Callithrix jacchus: one gene and its partners. The protein of the gene in region 5 purifies or fractionates together with the protein of the main gene of each other region. This does not show direct contact. Links are inferred from orthologs where the notes say so. Each region holds a gene or a part of one and is shown on either strand. Other genes may lie near its edges.

What was found.
Region 1: the proteins of FAM98A (region 5) and RTRAF purify together in Homo sapiens (affinity purification with mass spectrometry; 4 studies listed by BioGRID and IntAct, with this or other methods). This does not show direct contact. The link is inferred for Callithrix jacchus from reciprocal best matches to the Homo sapiens genes FAM98A and RTRAF.
Region 2: the proteins of FAM98A (region 5) and NUFIP2 purify together in Homo sapiens (co-immunoprecipitation; 3 studies listed by BioGRID and IntAct, with this or other methods). This does not show direct contact. The link is inferred for Callithrix jacchus from reciprocal best matches to the Homo sapiens genes FAM98A and NUFIP2.
Region 3: the proteins of FAM98A (region 5) and ATXN2 purify together in Homo sapiens (co-immunoprecipitation; 3 studies listed by BioGRID and IntAct, counting the BioPlex papers as one, with this or other methods). This does not show direct contact. The link is inferred for Callithrix jacchus from reciprocal best matches to the Homo sapiens genes FAM98A and ATXN2.
Region 4: the proteins of FAM98A (region 5) and ATXN2L purify together in Homo sapiens (co-immunoprecipitation; 3 studies listed by BioGRID and IntAct, with this or other methods). This does not show direct contact. The link is inferred for Callithrix jacchus from reciprocal best matches to the Homo sapiens genes FAM98A and ATXN2L.

The regions. Positions count from the first base shown.
Region 1 is NC_133509.1:86,573,799-86,577,138, forward strand, and holds part of RTRAF (RNA transcription, translation and transport factor protein), read left to right. Parts: coding exon 1-63; intron 64-1,183; coding exon 1,184-1,272; intron 1,273-2,207; coding exon 2,208-2,336; intron 2,337-3,277; coding exon 3,278-3,340. UniProt on the Homo sapiens protein: RNA-binding protein involved in modulation of mRNA transcription by Polymerase II. Component of the tRNA-splicing ligase complex and is required for tRNA ligation.
Region 2 is NC_133506.1:104,332,391-104,336,563, forward strand, and holds the start of NUFIP2 (FMR1-interacting protein NUFIP2), read left to right. Parts: upstream 1-1,366; 5' UTR 1,367-1,455; coding exon 1,456-1,732; intron 1,733-4,173. UniProt on the Homo sapiens protein: Binds RNA.
Region 3 is NC_133510.1:114,383,332-114,386,845, forward strand, and holds part of ATXN2 (ataxin-2), read right to left. Parts: intron 1,714-3,514; coding exon 1,468-1,713; intron 1-1,467. UniProt on the Homo sapiens protein: Involved in EGFR trafficking, acting as negative regulator of endocytic EGFR internalization at the plasma membrane.
Region 4 is NC_133513.1:29,128,581-29,132,732, forward strand, and holds the start of ATXN2L (ataxin-2-like protein), read right to left. Parts: upstream 2,807-4,152; 5' UTR 2,279-2,806; coding exon 1,977-2,278; intron 1,388-1,976; exon of another isoform or gene 1,107-1,387; coding exon of another isoform or gene 985-1,106; intron 162-984; coding exon 125-161; intron 1-124. UniProt on the Homo sapiens protein: Involved in the regulation of stress granule and P-body formation.
Region 5 is NC_133515.1:81,385,811-81,389,763, reverse strand, and holds the start of FAM98A (protein FAM98A), read right to left. Parts: upstream 2,802-3,953; 5' UTR 2,732-2,801; coding exon 2,679-2,731; intron 1-2,678. UniProt on the Homo sapiens protein: Positively stimulates PRMT1-induced protein arginine methylation. Involved in skeletal homeostasis. Positively regulates lysosome peripheral distribution and ruffled border formation in osteoclasts.

The DNA of each region.
Region 1 (3,340 bases), on a different chromosome or scaffold from region 5:
CTGATAATGCAAAAACTGCTGACAATGCAACTAAAAATGCAGAACCATTGATCAATTTGGATGGTGAGTATATAATGCGTAACATTGAACATCAATATTTTGGGTTGCTTAAATGTTTTTTACTTTAAAGAATGAAATCCACGTTGACTTGGTTTTAGTAAATTAACAAGGATCCATGCAGACAGTATTTATGTTGACCTTTTATTCTCTATGTTTTTATAGTGTGCTTTCTTCTTCCCCTTGCATTTGAACATCTGAATGTTAATTTGATTTGCTTCTAGAAATTTGAGGTTTTAATTTGTATTTAATCATGGGGCCATTGTTTACCTTTTTGAATGTATAAATTTCTTTTAATCCAGCGACTGGTGAGACGTGGTAAAATTTTCCATTAAGTCTCAGATGTCTTTGAGTAATTTCTCTTTTTAAAAGTATGAAGAATCTAATTACCTAGATTATAATATGTTAAATATTCCTTCACTGGCTAATTCATTGTGACCTCTAATTTAGGAGTTAACCCTTTTTAATGAGAGAGGCGTTTAGACACTCCTGGGCCACTGCTTAGAGAGAAGGTTTTGGGAAAACTATCCATTGAGGGGATCTGTGTATTAAAATTAAAAGCCTTGAGAAGAAATGTTAATTAAAAGTGCTACATAAATTAGCCTTGCAGAAAAAGTTACAGGACAAACCTAATGTGAGTTAAATTAGTCATTTATTGAATTATTCAAGTTGGCTGATGAAGTACAGATGCTCCTTGAATGATGATGAGATCATTTTGAAAATATCATAAATCATTACCTGAATATCAGAATTCATGTAACACCCCAAAAGACCCATTGTAAAGTTGAAAAATGAAACTGGAAGCACTGTAAGTTCAGATTTTCCTCACCTTGCATTAGAGTTACATCCCACTGAATTCATTCTAAGATCAAAAGCTTGTAAGTCCAACCATCCTAAGTTGGGGACCGTCTCATACAGTCATAGGAAAACCATTTTATCTTTTACCAATTTATTTAGTTGTTGATAGTCTGCAGGGCTTCATTTTTTATCTCGTGAGTAGCAGTTTTAAAAACTAAGAGATTTGTTGTTACCGAAAAGTGAAAAATATTTTTGTATGTCCACAAATATGTCTGTAATTATACATTTGCAGAGTTGTAAGTTTTTCTTTATTTTTAATCTTCTATAGTAAATAATCCTGATTTTAAGGCTGGTGTGATGGCTTTGGCTAACCTGCTTCAGATTCAACGTCATGATGATTACCTGGTAATGCTTAAGGTCAGCTTCATGGTCTGGATTCTTGACAGAAACTGCATGTAGATAAATGTCTTTATTTTCTAAATATCAACTATTGATATTAAAATTTATGATCAAATGACTAAAATACAGTAGAAGAATGTGGGATATAAAACAGATTTCACGGTTTTATCTAATTTGGATTGTCTGTTTTGTGCCTGCCACTATGCTAAATCCTTTGCAAAGATGTTCTCATTCAATCTTGCCAACAGTCCTAGAGACAAATGCTAATATCTTTTTAAAAATATATATGATATGAAGAAACTGAGACTTAATGAGGATAGGTAAATGTGTCTAAAATGACAGAGCCAGGATTTTGAGCACTGTAACTCTGTGGTCCATTCTCTTTCCCACATTACCCTACTTCTGTTCAGTTAGTCCTTTTAATGATTCATGGTCTGTATTCATTAAGACAGTGAAAACTGCCAAATGAGTAATGGTGAATTTGGTCAGAAATATATATAACCCCAAAATCTCTTTGAGAAATGAATCTTTCTGTCCCCCATCCTACATAGTCCACTCAGTTTATAACTATACTTCAGGGAGCCCAGTAATCTTAAAGAGGTCTCTTGTTTCTGAGAGAAATCATAAATTTCAAAAGATTTATTCCTAGTAATCATGCAGGTACAGTGGTGTGGATCAGGGGAGTGGTACTTAAGATACCAGACTTGGAAATTATTTTAGAAATTATTAACGATTTTACAAGAGATTAAAAGCCAGACCTTGTGCATATAAACTACTTTGTGATAAGTTGAATAATTAAATTTCACTCTACCCAGAAGAGATTAAGCTATAACTTAACATGCTTTTTAGATTTTTATGTACTAAATATCAGTTTTGACAACACTGTTGTATTCCTAAGGTATTAAAATTTTCTGTACTGTATCTGAATGTTAACTTGGATTTTCTCAAAACAGATTGCATGCCTAAAGACAAAAATGTTTGTAGTGAAATTTAGCTATTTCGAAGGCTTGTTCTTTATTCAGACAATTATGTTAATTGCCTTGGAACAGTTCTACAGTGATCATGTCAGCTTTAATCATAAAGTAAGTGAGAGGAGCATCAGACAATGGATAGTGTATTTGGGGTTCTTTTGTTAGACTTCAAAACCCAAGGAGATAAAGTATAAATCAGCTACAACAAAAAGCTATAAAATTCTAGTCCTAGCTGCACATTTTTTCCTTTTGAGTTATTTTAAGAGGCTTTCAAACAGTAACATAATATGGAAAACATCTTAGTACATTTGTCAAGTACAAGAATCAGTATATTAACTATTTGGCAACCAGAATGTTTAATATGTTTGCAGTCACTGTTAAACATTGTTTGAATTCTCTTTTTCAAAGATAGCATTTGGTTTTTTTATTTAAAGTTTTCACACTTATTTTTGAGTTGTAACTGTCATCTCTCTAATTAAAATTCATTTTAAAAAAATTTGACTTTTAAGTGTGTATGGATACTTGCATGCATGCATGCCATAATGAAATGCCTTGGTGATCAAAACCACCAACAGTGTCCTTTGAAAGGTAAGAAAATATTTTACTAGAGTGAAGTGATAAAAGCAAAGTGTAAGACACTATGCATGATCTGCTACCCTTTGTGTCAAAAATGTGTATTCGTGCATAAGCATGCTCATCATTTCACAGTTTTAGGGTGAGCGTACATAAGAATCTGTAGGGGATCACAGGGCTAGGAAGGAGACCTACTTTTTGCCATGTATCCTGCTGTATTTAATAGGCACATGCATTACCTATTCAAAAATAGTTTTAATTGTTGCAAGCATCACTCAACATTATTAAAATACTAGAAGTGTGAAAGGTTACCTTATATTAGTGGTTTGGTTTTTTATTTTTAATTTATTGGAGAGTTTATTAATGAACTAGGTAATTCTGACTTCATCAAATTGAGCGTCCTTATTCTCTAGGCTCATAGAAAAAAGGATGACAGGTAAACAACCTATAAAAAGTGAAAATATTTTTGGGTTTCTTAGGCAATTCGAATTTTGGTTCAGGAGCGCCTGACACAGGATGCAGTTGCTAAGGCAAATCAAACA
Region 2 (4,173 bases), on a different chromosome or scaffold from region 5:
ACCTGGGATTACCAGCAGGCGCCACCACGCCCGGCTAATTTTTTATTTTTATTTTTAGTAGAGACGGGGTGTCTCCATGTTGGTCAGGCTGGTCTCAAACCCTGGACCTCAGGAGATTCGCCTGCCTTGGCCTCTCAAAGTGCTGGGATTACAGGTGTGAGCCACTATGCCCGGCCATATGTACACTTAAAATTAAGATGGTAAGTTTTATACAATGAATATTTTACAATTTAAAAAATCCCCCAATCTATAACATGTATTGAGAAATGTGCGTTTTACATGTATAATCAGTTTAATAAATAATTATCAAGCAAATATATGTATAATCACCACCTGTCCCAAAAGTTATCAGAGTAACCTGTGTCCCTCCCCATCACAACCCTCTTCCTTCCTAACCACTATCACGGCTCTAACATTTGCTTTTGAAAATCATACTGTGATGTGGTAATGCAGGATAAGTTAAATCAACACTACAAAACAGCACAGAATATTTCCTTAAATTCCAATTTTTCCAAGTGCAAAAAAAAAAAAAACCACAACAACCCACTTAACTTTTAAGTTCTCTTTCTCCCCTTCCTGTGCTCTGGAAACTTCACATTCTAAAACCTATTTTAGTTCCACAGTTGACCTCACCTGCAAAGTTTAATTAAAAAAAAAAAACAAAAAAACCTTCAGTATAGATTTTCATTCCTCCCACTCTCCCTTGCCTCCAACTACAAAGAAACAATGATTTAAACCCTTTGTGCCCTTTTAGAAAATTACACAGATACCCCATTGTGGAACCCAATAATCCCTTCGTGGAAAGGAAGAGATTAGCATATGAATACAAAGCAAAATGAATCCAGAATACAAAATGATCTACTGGATTGGGAAGCTCTTGTATTCTTAAAAATGTATTTATTTCCTCTTTTTGTATTGCCTCTTTAGTGGTCGCGGGGTTAAGGGAATTGAGCTTCCCTTTCTGGCTACCCGGAAAAGGATTTTTTAAAAAACCAAAAAAACACCAGATTCTAAGAAGTGCAAAACCAACAGATGGCTCCCAGCGCCAGTGGAATCGCCAGTGGAATCTGCTACACTAGACACGAGCTTGTTTGCCGGCGAGGAGTGTAGAAAGTGCTGTTCGCAGACTGCGTGGTGAAGGAGAGAAAGCGACAGAAGAGAGAGCCATAGTGCTGACGTTGAAGGCCCGGCCCTGTGAGGTTGCACAGGGTAAGTGGCGTTGGCCAGGCGGCAGCGGGGAAGGGGAAGGAAAGAGGATTTGAGCTGGGGGCGGGGCTTGCGGCGCAGCGTGGCTCCTGATTGCTGGAGCGCGACTGCCAATCTTGCAGAATCGCTCGGTTAACCAGTGCGCTGGCGAGACGCGCTCAGATATACTGAGTGAGCCCTGAGAAGCAGTCTCAGATCCTGACGGTGCAGCAGCCCGCAGCCTCACCCAGGGAGTCCCAGCCGCTTTCAATGGAGGAGAAGCCCGGCCAGCCACAGCCTCAGCACCATCACAGCCACCACCATCCGCACCATCACCCGCAGCAGCAGCAGCAGCAGCCGCACCACCACCACCATTATTATTTTTACAACCACAGCCACAACCACCACCACCACCATCATCACCAGCAGCCTCACCAATACCTGCAGCATGGAGCCGAGGGCAGCCCCAAGGCCCAGCCAAAGCCGCTGAAACATGAGCAGAAACACACCCTCCAGCAGCACCAGGAAACGCCGAAGAAGAAAACAGGTCTGGGAGGGAGGACGGGTGGGGGAAGGGGGTTGGGGGTGGAGGACAGGGGAGATGGGGGTGGGGCCAGATCCGAAGAGCGCGGACGGGGTGGAAGTGTGTGTGTGTACCCTCCGGCTGTGGGGATGCCCCCTTTCATTCTAGAGCTCGTGCTGGGCAATGGGGTTTGCAGCGCCCTCTCCTCCTCTCCAGCATAGGAGAGGCCCAGCTAGGCCAGCGTGACCTTCCCGGCCCCCGCCCCGGCTGAAGGGAGACCCGCTGGGTGGGCCTTGCAAGTCCAAGCTTATTATTCTTTCCCATTCACCTCCCTGCCGCCCTGGAGTTACCTCAATTTGGGGGCCCTGAGAGGGGGTGAACCTACCCCCCCCAGAAAATCCCTCGAGGTGGAACTCAGGAAGGCCTAGCGAATCCCGACTCAGGTGGTGTCGCGAGACCCTTTTGCAGCCGGCGAGGAGCGGGTAGGTGGGCTGAGTTGAAGAAGTGTCCCTCACCCGCCACCCCAAGCCCACCTGTGGCCTTGGGGCTCCCTGTCTTGCGGGGGGGGGCTGTTGGGACCCCTTGTCTCACGGGTCATTTCCACCACTAAACGCCCTTTTTGGGCGTCGGACCCTGCAGTCTTTCCCCTCGGCTCCTCCCGAGGCCGGCGCCCCGGGCTCGCTCCCCCTAGAGCCGGCGCGGCTGGAATGTTCTCTCCTCCTCGCGGGGCCGCTTCCTGTCCGCCATGTTGGAAGCCGATTCCTGTCACCGACTCTGGCCCACTGAGGAGCGGAGGGGGAAGGGTGTCGAGGTCCACAAGGCGCGGCGGAGCCGGGTGACCCGGGATCACCACCGGCCGCCGCCTCGCCCCCTGCACTGCGGGGGCACCGCCGACCCCCGCCCCGTGGCCGCCCCTCCCCCCGTCGCCGCCGGGGTTGTGTAACCCGGTGGCGGCGCGCGGCCCCGGGCGGGTCCCTGGGGTGAGGGGCGGGGGCGGTTGGGGTGGGGGAGGGAAGCAGCCACGAGGGGAGCGGCTTGCGTCGGGCCCCGCGCGCCAGCGGCCGCGTTTCCCGCTCCCGGGTGCGGCGGGAGGCGCGGGCAGTCGGGGCGGGGAGCCGGCCTCGAAGCAGAGCTGTGGGGGGGAAGGAGGCCGCGGGTTGCGGCCGCGCTGCTCCTCGGGGCAGGAGGCCTTGGAGGGGCGGCGGGGGGATTCATTTTGGGTAGAGGCGGTGCCTGAGGCCGGGTGGGGTACCCAGCGGGAACCCAGCTCCCCGGTCACGAGTTTCTCTGCCACAGGAACCTCATCTCCTGCCAGGTTCGCTCACGACTCCGCCTCTGAGGCTTTCACTTGGGCCCTTTCCTTCTAACAGCTCATTTTCTATTTAAAAAAAAAACAAAAAACAAAAAACCTTGCTCCATTCCCCTCCCCACCCAGCCCTTACCTTCTGAGCTTGGGCAGTGTCTTTGAGGTGAGGAATTTTAAAAAGTGTTAGGATGGGGAAGAGGGCGAGCTTTTTGACTCCTCTTTCTTGTCCTTATGGGTGAACCCGAGTGGCTCATCCATGAGGTTAGATTACTACCATCTTGCCTGGGATGAGGTTTCTCTCCATGTTAAAAAGAAAGGTTTTTCATATTTTAAAACCGATATTGATCCCCAAACTAATCTTAAACGAGAAATTGAGGTAAAAGTCATAAAGTGTTTCACGAGGAGTTTAAAAGTTTAATACCATGCAGATTTTTAAAAATAAGGGCTCTTTATAAATCCAAAGAGAAGAAGCATCAGCATATGTTAAACTCAGCGTATTAAATTTGAGAGAAGGAATTATTGAGAGCTGGGGGAAAACTTTTATTGCAGATCGTAACTTGAAGATTGAAATTACAATGTCAGATTTTCCATTTTGGGAGTTGTTAGGGACCGATGGCATGCAGTAGAAGTGAACACATGTGAGTTAGGTGTTTAATGCTAAAGATCTGGAGCAGTTTAAAAACTGTTAGGGACTATATAACTAGATCTTTTTAGCATTAGATCTTGTTCAAAAGATGAGGAAATACTACCATATTATGGCTATATAAGACAATATGACTGTTGAGATTGAAAATTGAATTTTATTGGTCAGGTTAATACACTGTTGCAGGACTTCTTTCTCTATATAAGCAGCCCCTAAACCATTCAAAGTGGTATTCCTCCAAATATGTGTTATCTTGGAAGGGGTAGTGGATAAAGAGGAAACTGAAATTAGCAGTTTTGACAAAATGTAAACAGTTTTGGGCGAGTGTATGGTTTGGTCACAGTGCTGTTGCTTTGACATGCATAATGCTAATAACTAAGAAAACATTAGAATATTTTTGAAATTTATCTGTAACATATTGAGGTAGGCTTTTGTAGCCCTTTACTCACAAATCTAAAGAGGAACAGTTTTTTATCCAGAAGAGGGCGCAAGAGAAGGCCAAATGTGTTGAGTAAT
Region 3 (3,514 bases), on a different chromosome or scaffold from region 5:
GACGAGGTTTCACCATGCTAGCCAGACTGGTCTCAAACTCCTGACCTCAAGTGATCCGCCTGCCTCAGCCTCCTAAAGTGCTGGGATTACAGGTGTGAGCCACCATGTCTTGCTCCCAAGAAGAATTTAAACATGAACTTGATCTTTAAAAGAATGCTAATATTATACACTATAATTTTCAAATGGCAATATTTGACATCTCTGAATGACACAGAAGGCATATTTCTGTGTGAATAGTCCATGAGCAGTCCTTACATCTTAATGTAATAAAGATGTTAACAGTCATTAATGATCATGTCTTAAATATTTTCTCATTATATAAATATTACTTATTCAAATGATGGACTGCAAGAAAAATAACTTTGCATTTAGTGACCACTATTAAGGCTCTTTTGGTAAAGAAATCACCTTGAAAATCAGTGGAACTTACTCTTCAAGGTTACATGCATCAAAGTCACATGACTTGCCTGCTTAGATGGTAACAATTTATTTAAAAGCAGCCTCCTTTTCTCCAGGGAAGCAGGAGAAACACACTTTGTGCAGAAAACTTTATTTGTCCCAATATAAGCAATATCAAGCATAATTTTAATGAATAAATCAGATTAAAAGGTTAACATAAATATTCAGAACTAATATCAAGAGGACATTATGATTCAGAAAACAGGTTTTTAATATATACATGGCATTTAAATTAGAATGTTACTTTTCTACAACATATCCATGTATTTGATATGTTGCAATATTGGATTTAGCACCAAATACTAATAAAGAATTACAAGATTTTATTCTTATTTTTTCCCTTATATGAAGGGAAAAAAATAGCTAAATATTCAAATTCATACGTGGTTTTTATCCATAATTTTATCTTAGATAAAAGACTTCTCCCAGATTAAAGCAGCCTTTCACTATATAATATTGCAAAGCTAATCTTAAAAAAATTACTCAGTGAAAATTTAGAATTCCTCAGGCATTCTAAAAATCAAACTACTTTAATCTAAGAGCAGACACACGAAGGCAGCTATATAGGCTGTCACTCTCAAAAAGGACCGACAAAACACCATTCCTTCTTACAGCCAATAGAAAGGTTCATTAGGACCTTGGCCAAGGAGCTGTAAAATGAACCCAAGTTCAAGACTGGCTGAAGAAAGTTCATTTGTTTATCATTACTGCATATAGTGCAAATAAGGCTGTGGGGCAGCCCTTTCTGGGGCTGTAAAGAAGCATAATTACCAGGCAGAGATAAATCCCTTTTTAACAATGATTCAGATAATTCATAGCTTCACACAACATTTATCAAATTTCTCTCTAATGAACAAAAGGTTAATAGAAATAGTTTTAATAAACTAAAGTTAAAACACAGAAATTATAGGTTATTAAATAATGAAGAGGAAACTATTTTGTAATTATAAACTCACATAGGAGTTAAACAAAGACAAACAAAAACATGAACAAATTGTGGTATTGTACCTTCTGAAGACATGCGTTTAGGCATAGTAGAGACAGGAGCTGGAGAACCATGAGCAGAGGGGTGAGACGGGGGTCTGGATGGCCGCGAGGGGGGCCTGGAGGGCGGCCGTGTAGGGGTGGCTGCCCGAGGTGGAAGAGAGTTGGGACCTGACTGGTAGCGAGAAGGTGGGCGAGAGGAAGGAGATGGGCAAGGCGATGGCCAGGGAACACCTGACAGAACAAATGATATGAAGGAAAGTATAAAAACTAAAGAAAAAAATGAGGGAAAAAAGTAAACAGAAAAAAAAGTAAAATGACAAAAATGATTTCTCGTACATTTTAACCCTTTGAGGACAGTCATTTGATTTGTGATAAGTTTTAACATAACTTAACTGACATAAATTCACATTTTACTTTAACCTCCTTAAGATTAAGTCTGTTTAAATGAATACACGTTCCCAAAGGGTTAATTAGGATCTACACACACTACTGAAGAAGACAGTTAAGACTTTGCCTATTAATCCTGCTTCTATAACTCTCAAGTAATCAGTTGTTTAAAGGAATATAACATACATTAGATAATTTCACATAATAAATCATAATAATTCCTACTCAGGAATAAGATTATTTACTGTATTAGTTTTAACTTTGAAGCATAATGAAAATAAGCAGTAGCTATTATATCCAATTAGAAATACTGGTTCCTTATAGTCATCTGATTTTCATCAGGTTTAAACCTAAAATTCAGTTTGAAATCTCATTAAGCAAGTCCCATTGAAGCAGAAAAAAAAAATTACTCTTTTCTAGAGTCACAGGAGTATCAAACGCTAATATTCATTGCTCTTTCAAAAAAGTCTTGATCTCATTAAACTTGAAAAAGGGAGACCTTCTAAATAATTTATACAGTTAAACACTTATCTAAGCGACTGCTTAGTAAATACTGCAATTACAAGGCAGTCATCACCAAATAAATCTATACTGATGGATATGCCCAGGTAAAGATACAGCTAGTATTTAACATTACATATCACTTACCTTAATCTTATCAAACACTCCAGGTCTCCTCTCCATGGAGTTCCACACACTTGAGTATCATGCATTGTCCAGCCCCTTAAGGTTTTTTAACTTTAAAATTCTGTTTATGAACAACTAAAATCTTTCCTCAGTGAGCAAAGAAATTTCACCCCCAATATTAAGTACAGAAAATACTCAAGAGTGTCCATTTGGAGAGGAATTCTGGAGAAAAGACTCAATGAAAACAAACGAAACTGGAAACTTAGTGTTCTCTATTTTCATGTTTCTAACTTTCCAAATTTAAATATCTAAAATTGAACATCCACTCTTTTCTCAATGTTAGTAACATATTATTGCTATTACTATTTCCATACCATCCATAGAACTGTTGTTCAGTATTCCTGATTTATGAAAAAGATCCACAACCTACAAGATATATTCAATCTAGATTTAGAGGTAGAGTAAAATATGTCTTCCTACTAAAGATTCAGGTTTCTTTAACTTAAGTTGCTAAACTATAACATCTACCCTTAGACTGAGTTGTTTTTGTTGTTTTTTAAGCACATTTCTCTAGTCACTTTCTTCACATGACTCTTGATCATATCTTGTAAGTTACCTGAGATCCTTTCTTGAAGCATAATACAAAAACAGTTAATGAAAATGAATCTATATTAACCACAGTGTTGCACATAGGTTAAAATTTTCCATATACATTATATCTAAATAATTTTATTACCTAGTGTTTTTAAAATTGAGAACCTATCCAAAGTTTCCAATTTCTTTATACGCGGAGTGTTTTTGGCCAAGTGATTGTCTTGGGTTAAATGCAGCACTTTATCTTAGTATATCACGAGTATTTCATCATGCTACATAATGTATATGTCAATAACGTATATAATGTTTTATTACTTTGCTTGACACAAAAGCCAATTTTAAGTAATGCTGAAGTGAAAACTACTCCGCAAGTCATTAAAGTGCACATTCTTATCAGTTATGTGAACTATTTTAAGTATTTAGAAAACTATTTGATCAATGGTATTGACAAATCTGGTCA
Region 4 (4,152 bases), on a different chromosome or scaffold from region 5:
GTGTGTTGGGCCCACAGCCCTCCTGAGTACATCAGACTCTCTCTAGACCTAATGTGCCCTAAATTCTCACATTATGCATCTTTTAGGTCCACGTATCTTAAAGAGGGTGGGAGGAGACACTCACAGGTGATTGTGGGGGTCCCTTTCCTGTGCTCTGTCCCCTATAAGAGAAAAAAACAAAAAATTAGTTATTTAAGTCTGTTCAAGCCTTCTTAGACCACTTTGAAATTAATGTTCCATTCCAGAAGCATATACCACTTGATGATGCTGATTTGGACTACAAAATCATTAATCAGTAAGATTTTTTCCTTTTTTTTTTTTTTTTTTTTGAGAGGGTCTCCCTCTGTTGCCCAGGCTGGGGTGCAATGGCACAATCTCAGCTCGCTGCAGCCTCAAATCTTCCTGCCTTGGCCTCCCAAGTGGCTGGGATTATAGGTGGGCACCACCACTCCTGGTTTTTTTTTTTTTTTTTTTTACATTTTTAGTAGAGATGGGATTTCCCTATGTTGCCCAGGCTGGTCTCGATCTCCTGGGCTCAAGGGATCCTCCACCTCTGCCTCCCAAAGTGCTGGCATTACAGGCACGAGCCACTTCGCCTGGCCAATCAATAAGATTTTCATCTTGCAGAGGAAGAAAAAAGTAGGCGTTAAAAAGCCAGGAAACACATTTCCTCCTAATGCCAGTAAAAAAAGATCTCAATCAACAACGATTGTCAATTGCTCTAAAAACCAACGAGAAAGGGGTTAGGGCTGCCTGCATGTTACCAACAGATCAATGCTACGGATTAACCAAAAACCCACCCCAGCTGTGCAGGCAAAGCTCCAGGAGTGCAGCTTCGAAACTACCTAGCTCAGGCACATTACCTCCCAAACAGAAAAGACAATCATATTTTCAGCAGCCTGACGCCTCAAACCCTGGGAGGAGGGGGTATCCCTTCCACATCCCATCCCCTCGACCTCATAACTCATTCACCCCGTTACCCACTCTGCGGATGTCACCAAACGCCAGGTAACCCTGCTCGTCGCTGGCTGATGTAACCGGCGGTTGAGGAGGGCGAAGAGGGGGCCGCTGGCGGGGCTGGGGGACAGCGCAGCCGCAAAAGCCATCCACCGGGAGGCATCGCCCGGTCTGCGCCTGCGCACTAAGGCCCACGGGCCTCTTCAAAACCCCCCCACCTCGCGCGATCAGAGCCCACTGCGCCTGCGTGTGCCGCCACTCTCAGTTCTATTAACACACACGCACACACAGAAAAAACTGAGCAGGGCGTCCACTACTCATGCACCGCCACCAGACGAGCCCCTCCACGAACTGTCCCAGCTCCTGCCCTAGGTGTTCCAGGGACGCGCGAATGCCCGGGTCATGAGACCGAGCATCCACGCGCACGTACGGGAAGGGGGCGCGCGCGCCAGAGGTTCCCGTCCCGCAGTCCTCCCAGCCGTCCCTCCTTCCGTCCCCCCGCCCACCTCGCTCCCCTCCTACTGGCCAGACCGACGGGAAAAGGGAGGCAGCAACCCGCTCCCAAGTCCCTCCCTCCCCATTGGCCAAACTGTGGGCCGCGCGCCCCCCTCCATTGGCTACGGCCGGGGACCCCTTCCCGCAGCAGACTCCCTATTGGCTAAAGCCGGGAACCGCGAGACCCTTCGTGGTAATGGAACCGGGGACCCCGATCACCTCCTCGCCCCCCCAACTCCCCGTTTCGACGGCGCCGGCGGGATGCGCCCCGCCTCCCCTGAAGGCCGGGACTGCGAGCCCTGACTAGGCCCCGAGAGCCGAGCGCGGCCCCTCAGCGTTCCGGTAGCAGCTCGGGGACCCTTTCCCTCCGACCTGTTTGGACCTGAGGGGGCCCTCCCCCGGCTTCACGGGGGCTCCTCGCCCCGCCGGTGCCCCTCACGGTGCCGAGTCGGGGTACGCCCCGCCGGAACCGAGCCCGTCTCCGGGTGGCCGAGGCTTCCCCGCCCGGAGCCCACCGTCCTCACCTGGCGCTGCCGATGGTGGCAGCCCCTGGCCTCTCCTGGTGCTGCTGCTGCGGCGGCGGCGGCTGCGGCGCCAAGATGCCTTCTGTTCCCCGGCGGAGCCCGCTACCGGCAGCGGCCACAGGCCCCAGGCAGGGGGAGGCGGCCGCTGGAGGCCCGGGCGGAGCCGCGGAGGTGGCCAGCGGCCCCGGGAGCCCGCCGTTGGGAGGGCTGGTGCCCCCGGGGGGCCGGCGGGCCACGGCCTGTTGCGTGGGGGGCGGCTGCTGGGGCTGGGAGGGCTGTTGTGGCGGCTGAGGCTTCAACATGATGGCAGCGTCCGGAAGGGGAATCAGAGGGAAGGGAGGGAGAGAGGGGGCCGGGGCTGGGGCCCCGCCGGAGAGCGCGGGAAGCGAGGGGGATCGGGCAGCCGGGGCCCGCCGTTGGCGGGCGGGGGGAGCCCCGCGGTGTCGGGGGTGGAGAGAGAAGACCGCGGCGCGAGGAAGCGCCGCGAGGCGGAAGGGGAGGGGGTCTCGCGGGCTGGAGGAAAGCGAGAGGGCGCGAGCCGGGCTGGCGCGCGTGCGCGTCGCCGGGGCGCGGGGAGGGAGGAGCGCGCGGGCGGGAGCTCCCGGGGGGAGGGGCAGCCGGAGCGAGCGGTGGCGCGAGGTGCAGCGCACACCGGCGCGGTCACCTCCTGCGGTAGGGAGGGAGAGAATCAAGTCGGTGAACCTCGCACCCCTAGCCCTGGGAGTGGGTAAGGAGCGGCGCGGGCGCTCACGCGCGCCAAGGATTTAGGGTCTCAAGGTCTCAAACCGCCTTAGAAGCCGGCGGCCGCGGTCGCTTCACAATGAGCGTGTGAGGCGCTGGGGGAGGAGCCGAAGGCGCCAGAGGAAGGGCCGGCCGCTCCGCCCACATCGGCGCTGCGTCGCGACGCCTCCGCGGGAGTGTGAGGCGGCACGTCGTGCGTGAGGCTCTTCCGCCACTTGGGGGCCTTTGGGCGGAGCCTTAAGTGCCAAAAACCTCTCCTGGACTGGAGCGCCCGAGCGACTGCACTTTTAGGCAGGTGGTATGTTTCGCAAGGAGCTATTCTCCACCCTGTTTGCTTTAAGTAAAAGACTGATGAGCATAAATCCTTCGTTTGAGCGTGATATTTGCATATGAATTTATGCCTCGTCCTAAATTGTAAATTTTATTGATTTTAACCTAAATTGTTCTTCCATGCCCGAGAATGAATCTTTAAACTGTAGTAACAAAGACTATCTGAAGTCCAAAGTTCTGAGTTGAAAATCCTCCACCCAACCCTACAAAGAAGGTAACTTCATTTATTCAAAATGAGTTGGGCATTTAGGTACGTGTTTTGGACACAGGATAATTAAAATGCTTTCTGCTCTCAAAGATTTCACACTAGTGGTGGATTCAGAGAATTTGACGAAACCTAGTAGGTGAAGCACAGGGCACTACAAGAGCAAATGGTAGTGACACCTAATCTTAATGAAGTATTGGGTGACCAGATAACCAACAAGAGGGCCAGAGGCAGTGGCTCTGACACCTGTAATCCTAACACTTTGGTAGTCTAAGGCAGGAGGAGCGTTTGAGGCCAGGAGTTTAACAGCCTGGGCAATGCAGTGAGACTTTGTCTCTACAAGAAATAAATTTTAAATTATTTTTTAAAAAAACAACTGATAAGAGGGTAGGGAGATGGGTTTCTTCCTCTCCCCACCCCCACCCCCGCCATAGAGTTTTGCTCTTGTTGCCCAGGCTGGATTACAATGGCAAGATCTCAGCTCACTTCAACCTCCTCCTCCTCCTGAGTTCAGGCAATTCTCCTGCCTCAGCCTCCTGAGTAGCTGGGATTACAGGCATGTGCCACCATGCCCAGCTAATTTTTGCATCTTTAAAGAGACGGGGTTTCACCATGTTGGTCAGGCTGGTCTTGAACTCCTGACCTCAGGTGATCCACCCACCCTGGCCTCCCAAAGTGCTGGGATTAACAGGCGTGAGCCACCATTCCTGGCTGGGAGATGGGTTTCTAGGCAGGGGAATAGGATGTGACTAAGAAGAACTCTGCTTGATCTAACCATAAAATTAAAGGGGGAAGAGGTAACTAACCTGGGACCACGTTTTAAAGGCTGGCAAGTCTTGTAAGAGACCTGGACATTATCCTTAAAGCAGTGGGGAGCTTTTTTAAGAAAGTGAAAAGAGG
Region 5 (3,953 bases):
GCATCTGAATCCTAATCCTTTTAAGTAATCCTAATGTAATTTTTAAAAATTTAAAGATGTTCAAACGTTCATAAAAGATGATAGTCATAATGAACTCCAATCACCAATATTCTAAAATTTAAGATTTTTGTCGGGCCAGGCGCCGTGGCTCACGCCTGTAATCCCAGCACTTTGGGAGGCCGAGGCGGGTAGATCACGAGGTCAAGAGATCAAGACCATCCTGGTCAACATGGTGAAACCCTGTCTCTACTAAAAATACAAAAAATTAGCTGGGCGTGGTGGCGCGTGCCTGTAACCCCAGCTATTCAGGAGGCTGAGGCAGGAGAATTGCCTGAACCCAGGAGGCGGAGGTTGCGGTGAGCCGAGATCATGCCATTGCACTCCAGCCTGGGTAACAAGAGCGAAACTCTGTCTCAAAAAAAAAAAAAACTTTTGTCACTCCAAGTAATCATATACGTATTATTCAGATTGTTTTATATTCTCTTAAATATTGATAATAACACTTATTCAAGATGTTACAGTAAATATGCTTGATAATGTTTAGAGATACAGATATGTTAGAGAAATGAGTTCTCAATCCCTTTAAAATATGATTATAGGTATATACAGTATATGCAACAGAATGAAAAAAATCATACACAAAAAAATGAGATTACATGTAGTCTGGCATCTAGATTTAGAAACTACATATTATTAGATACCAGAATCAAAAGACTAGACCTAGAAGTTTCTCCCTGTGTTTCACATTTAGGCTTCATTAGTTTATTCAACAAGTAGTTACTGAATTCCTACTGGGTGCCACGTAAGAGACAAAAGAGTCATTTGGGGGATCAGTGCATACACCTGTAGTTCCAGCTACTCTGGAGCCTGAGGTGGGAGGATCACTTGAGCCCAGGAGTTGGTGACAAAACTGGTTACCAGAGAGAGACCTCATCTCTTAATAAATAAATAGAAAAGGTAGTCGTTTAATTCTAATATTTCCCAGTGAATCCCTGAAAAGTACATTTCAATTAATTAAGACTTTTTAATGTATGAACGCCACCACAATAAGTAGTTAAGGTTAAAATGTATAATCATTTTTGGAAAATCCATTGTTTACATTACAATCCAACTCAAGTATTTATGTGATTACAATTACTACAGTAACAATTACTTGTAGAGTACCCAAAAGAATAAAAAGTTTTTTAAAAAGGAGGGAAAAAAGAGACAATGGGAAGAAACAGCATCGGTGGCCAATTCTTAAGTGACCACCATCCATGCAGAAAGACTATTTAAATAAGGTCTTGCTACTCCCTTTCATTCCACTCTTCCTTCAGTACTACGGTGTCATTTATTCCAGAAAGAAGCTTCTAGGACTTCATTTCCTTTCCCAGTGAAGGGACCCTCCTCAGGGCTCCTCAAAGCATATTTTTCCAGCATCCTGTGAACCCTTCTTCCACCTCACTTTGTACCCTAAGTACCCAACACTGCCACAAAGCAACTGTTCCTTTAAAAGGCCTAATGAATGAATGGTTTCATGTGTGAACAGGCAATTCAGTCTGAGATGTCAACTAAAGAGACTATTTTGGTGAATGACTTTAACATGTGCCCTAATGAAAGAAGCGCCCTAAAGTCTGGAATATTTATGAAAATTCAAAGCAAGTTTCCAAGAAAAGAACAATGGTATTTCACTTTGACAAAGAAAGATGAATCCTCAAGGTGTTTTTTCCTAAAGAAAGGTTTCTCTCAAAGATTTCCTTGTTGTTGTGGAAAAACAAGAGAGAGTTTTGATAAAGAACTTGTTACTTAGCCAGCTAAATCTGTACTTTGTTCTGATACCGTACCTGTAGGTAAATATCTAATCATATAATTTGTTACTGGAACCACATAGCCCAAGAGGTTACACGTTCTCAAGTTTAATAGAGTTCACTGATCTGGGTGACCCAGTGAGATAACAAACCCTATTTCCAGCTTCTAGATCCTGTTGAATTATGGTTGAATAACTATCAGGAGGAGGAGAGACAAAATGCAAAACAAATATGCAGCTTCTTGGTGGGTGAAGACGACCCTGGTCTAATGGGGCTCAACGAGGCAGAGAGTCACAGAATCAAGGGAAACTGCCGGTGGTTCCCAAGGAGGTGGTGATAGGTTAGATGCACAAGTGAGCTGGCTAGCGGAACAGATGCAACGCTCATACATGTGGCTTAGGGAAGCCTGGGTGCATGCAGAGATGACTGGGCAAACGAGAAATTTTGAGAGAAGTGGGGTGAGGTAGGAGTAGGGGCTCAAGATGGGAGCAGGAAATTTGGAGAACAAGTAGGAAAGCAGAACCAACTTTGGCAAATTTAGAGTTGGGGGATTAAGGGCAGGGCAGGAAGATGAAGCAAGGAGAGAAGCTCGGGGAGTGGGGGTGGCGAGAACCAGAGCCCAGACAATGACACGCATGACTGACAAACACTGCGGGTAGCTCGGCTGCAGGAAGCACCGGGCTGGCCTAGGGGTGTTGGGATTGGAGGACCCCGAGAGAGCAGTGCAGACAGAGGACGTGGCATTGGGGGGTTCCGGGGCCAAAGGGAAGAGACAGCCAGGAGCCACGGGGTGCGGCGTGGAGAGGCAGGTGTCTCAGACTGGGGTGCTGGAGGCGTTCCCAGGGGGCCGGCAGTGTAGGGCTTGGGAGACCCGTGCCCTGGCAGTCTTACCCTAGATCTTCCAACGACTCCAAGATGTCAGTTTCCATGAGGTCACACTCCATGCTACTGTGGTATTCAAATTTCCGAGTCGTCAGGCTCCCCTCTTCGCCGGCAACGCGTACACTCACGCATGCGCGACTTCCCCGGAACTTCCAAATCGACAGCTGGCGCCTCAGCTCCCGCACTGCGCATGTCCGGAGCGTGCGCAAGAAACTTGGTCCCACTGACAGCCCCACCCCTGCCTGCTAAGGAATTGTAGGGCCGCGCAGTTTTGCACATGCGTGTTACTGGATAGTGAAGCCAACCGCCAAAGAAGGGCAGGAGGACCGGCTGCGTGGCAGCTGGGTGTGGGGACCACGCGAGGGGGAGAGGTCTCGGCTCTCTTTATTGGGTGTACGCATGTGCGAATCTAGGGGGGCGAGGCGGGCAGGGAGGGAGCTTGGAAGAACCTGGTGTCGGGACTCGGGTGGAGTCGGCTGTGAAACCGCATCTCTTCATCCGAGACAGGGGATCCGGTGGCTCTTCGTAGTGTGCCGGCCTGTGCTAGCCTTAGCTTGCGGGTCATTTGCCCAGAACTGGGGTAGACGGCCCAAGTGCAGATAGCGAGACGTTTGATTTCCTTGTGGCTGCCGTAGCTGTGTTTCAGGGTTAGGGAGAGTCAACTTTCCTTAGACAGTGGATATTCAGAAAGTTGGGTCGTTTACCCTCACTCGGACTCTACCTGATTTCTAAAGCCCTTCCCAGACACTAAGCATGTTATTTTAAGGATAAGTGGGAGCCTCATTCCATAGCAAATTAAGTAGAATATATTTAAATCCACGTAGTTTAGACAGTGAATAAACTTTTTGGCTGTACTGTCATTGCTTTTGACATTTGCCCGGGTGAAACATTGAGTTCACGATGTGTTAAGGTATCTTCGCAGTTAATGAGTGTGTGCTTAGAAATTATTGAAAACTGCCCGAGCTGGGTAGCTCACGCCTGCAATCCCAACACAGTGGGAGGCCGACGCGGGCAGATCACAAGGTCAGGAGATCAAAACCATCCTAGCCAACATGGTGAAACCCCGTCTCTACTAAAAATAGAAGAATTAGCTGGGGATGGTGGCAGGTGCCTGTAATCCCAGCTACTCGGGAGGCTAAGGCAGGAGAATTCATTGAACCAGGGAGGCTGAGGTTGCAGTGAGCCGAGATCGTGCTACTGCACTCCAGCCTGGTGACAGAGTGAGACTCTATCTCAAAAAATAAATAAAGAAAGAAATTATTGAAAAATGAGAAATTGTGTTCA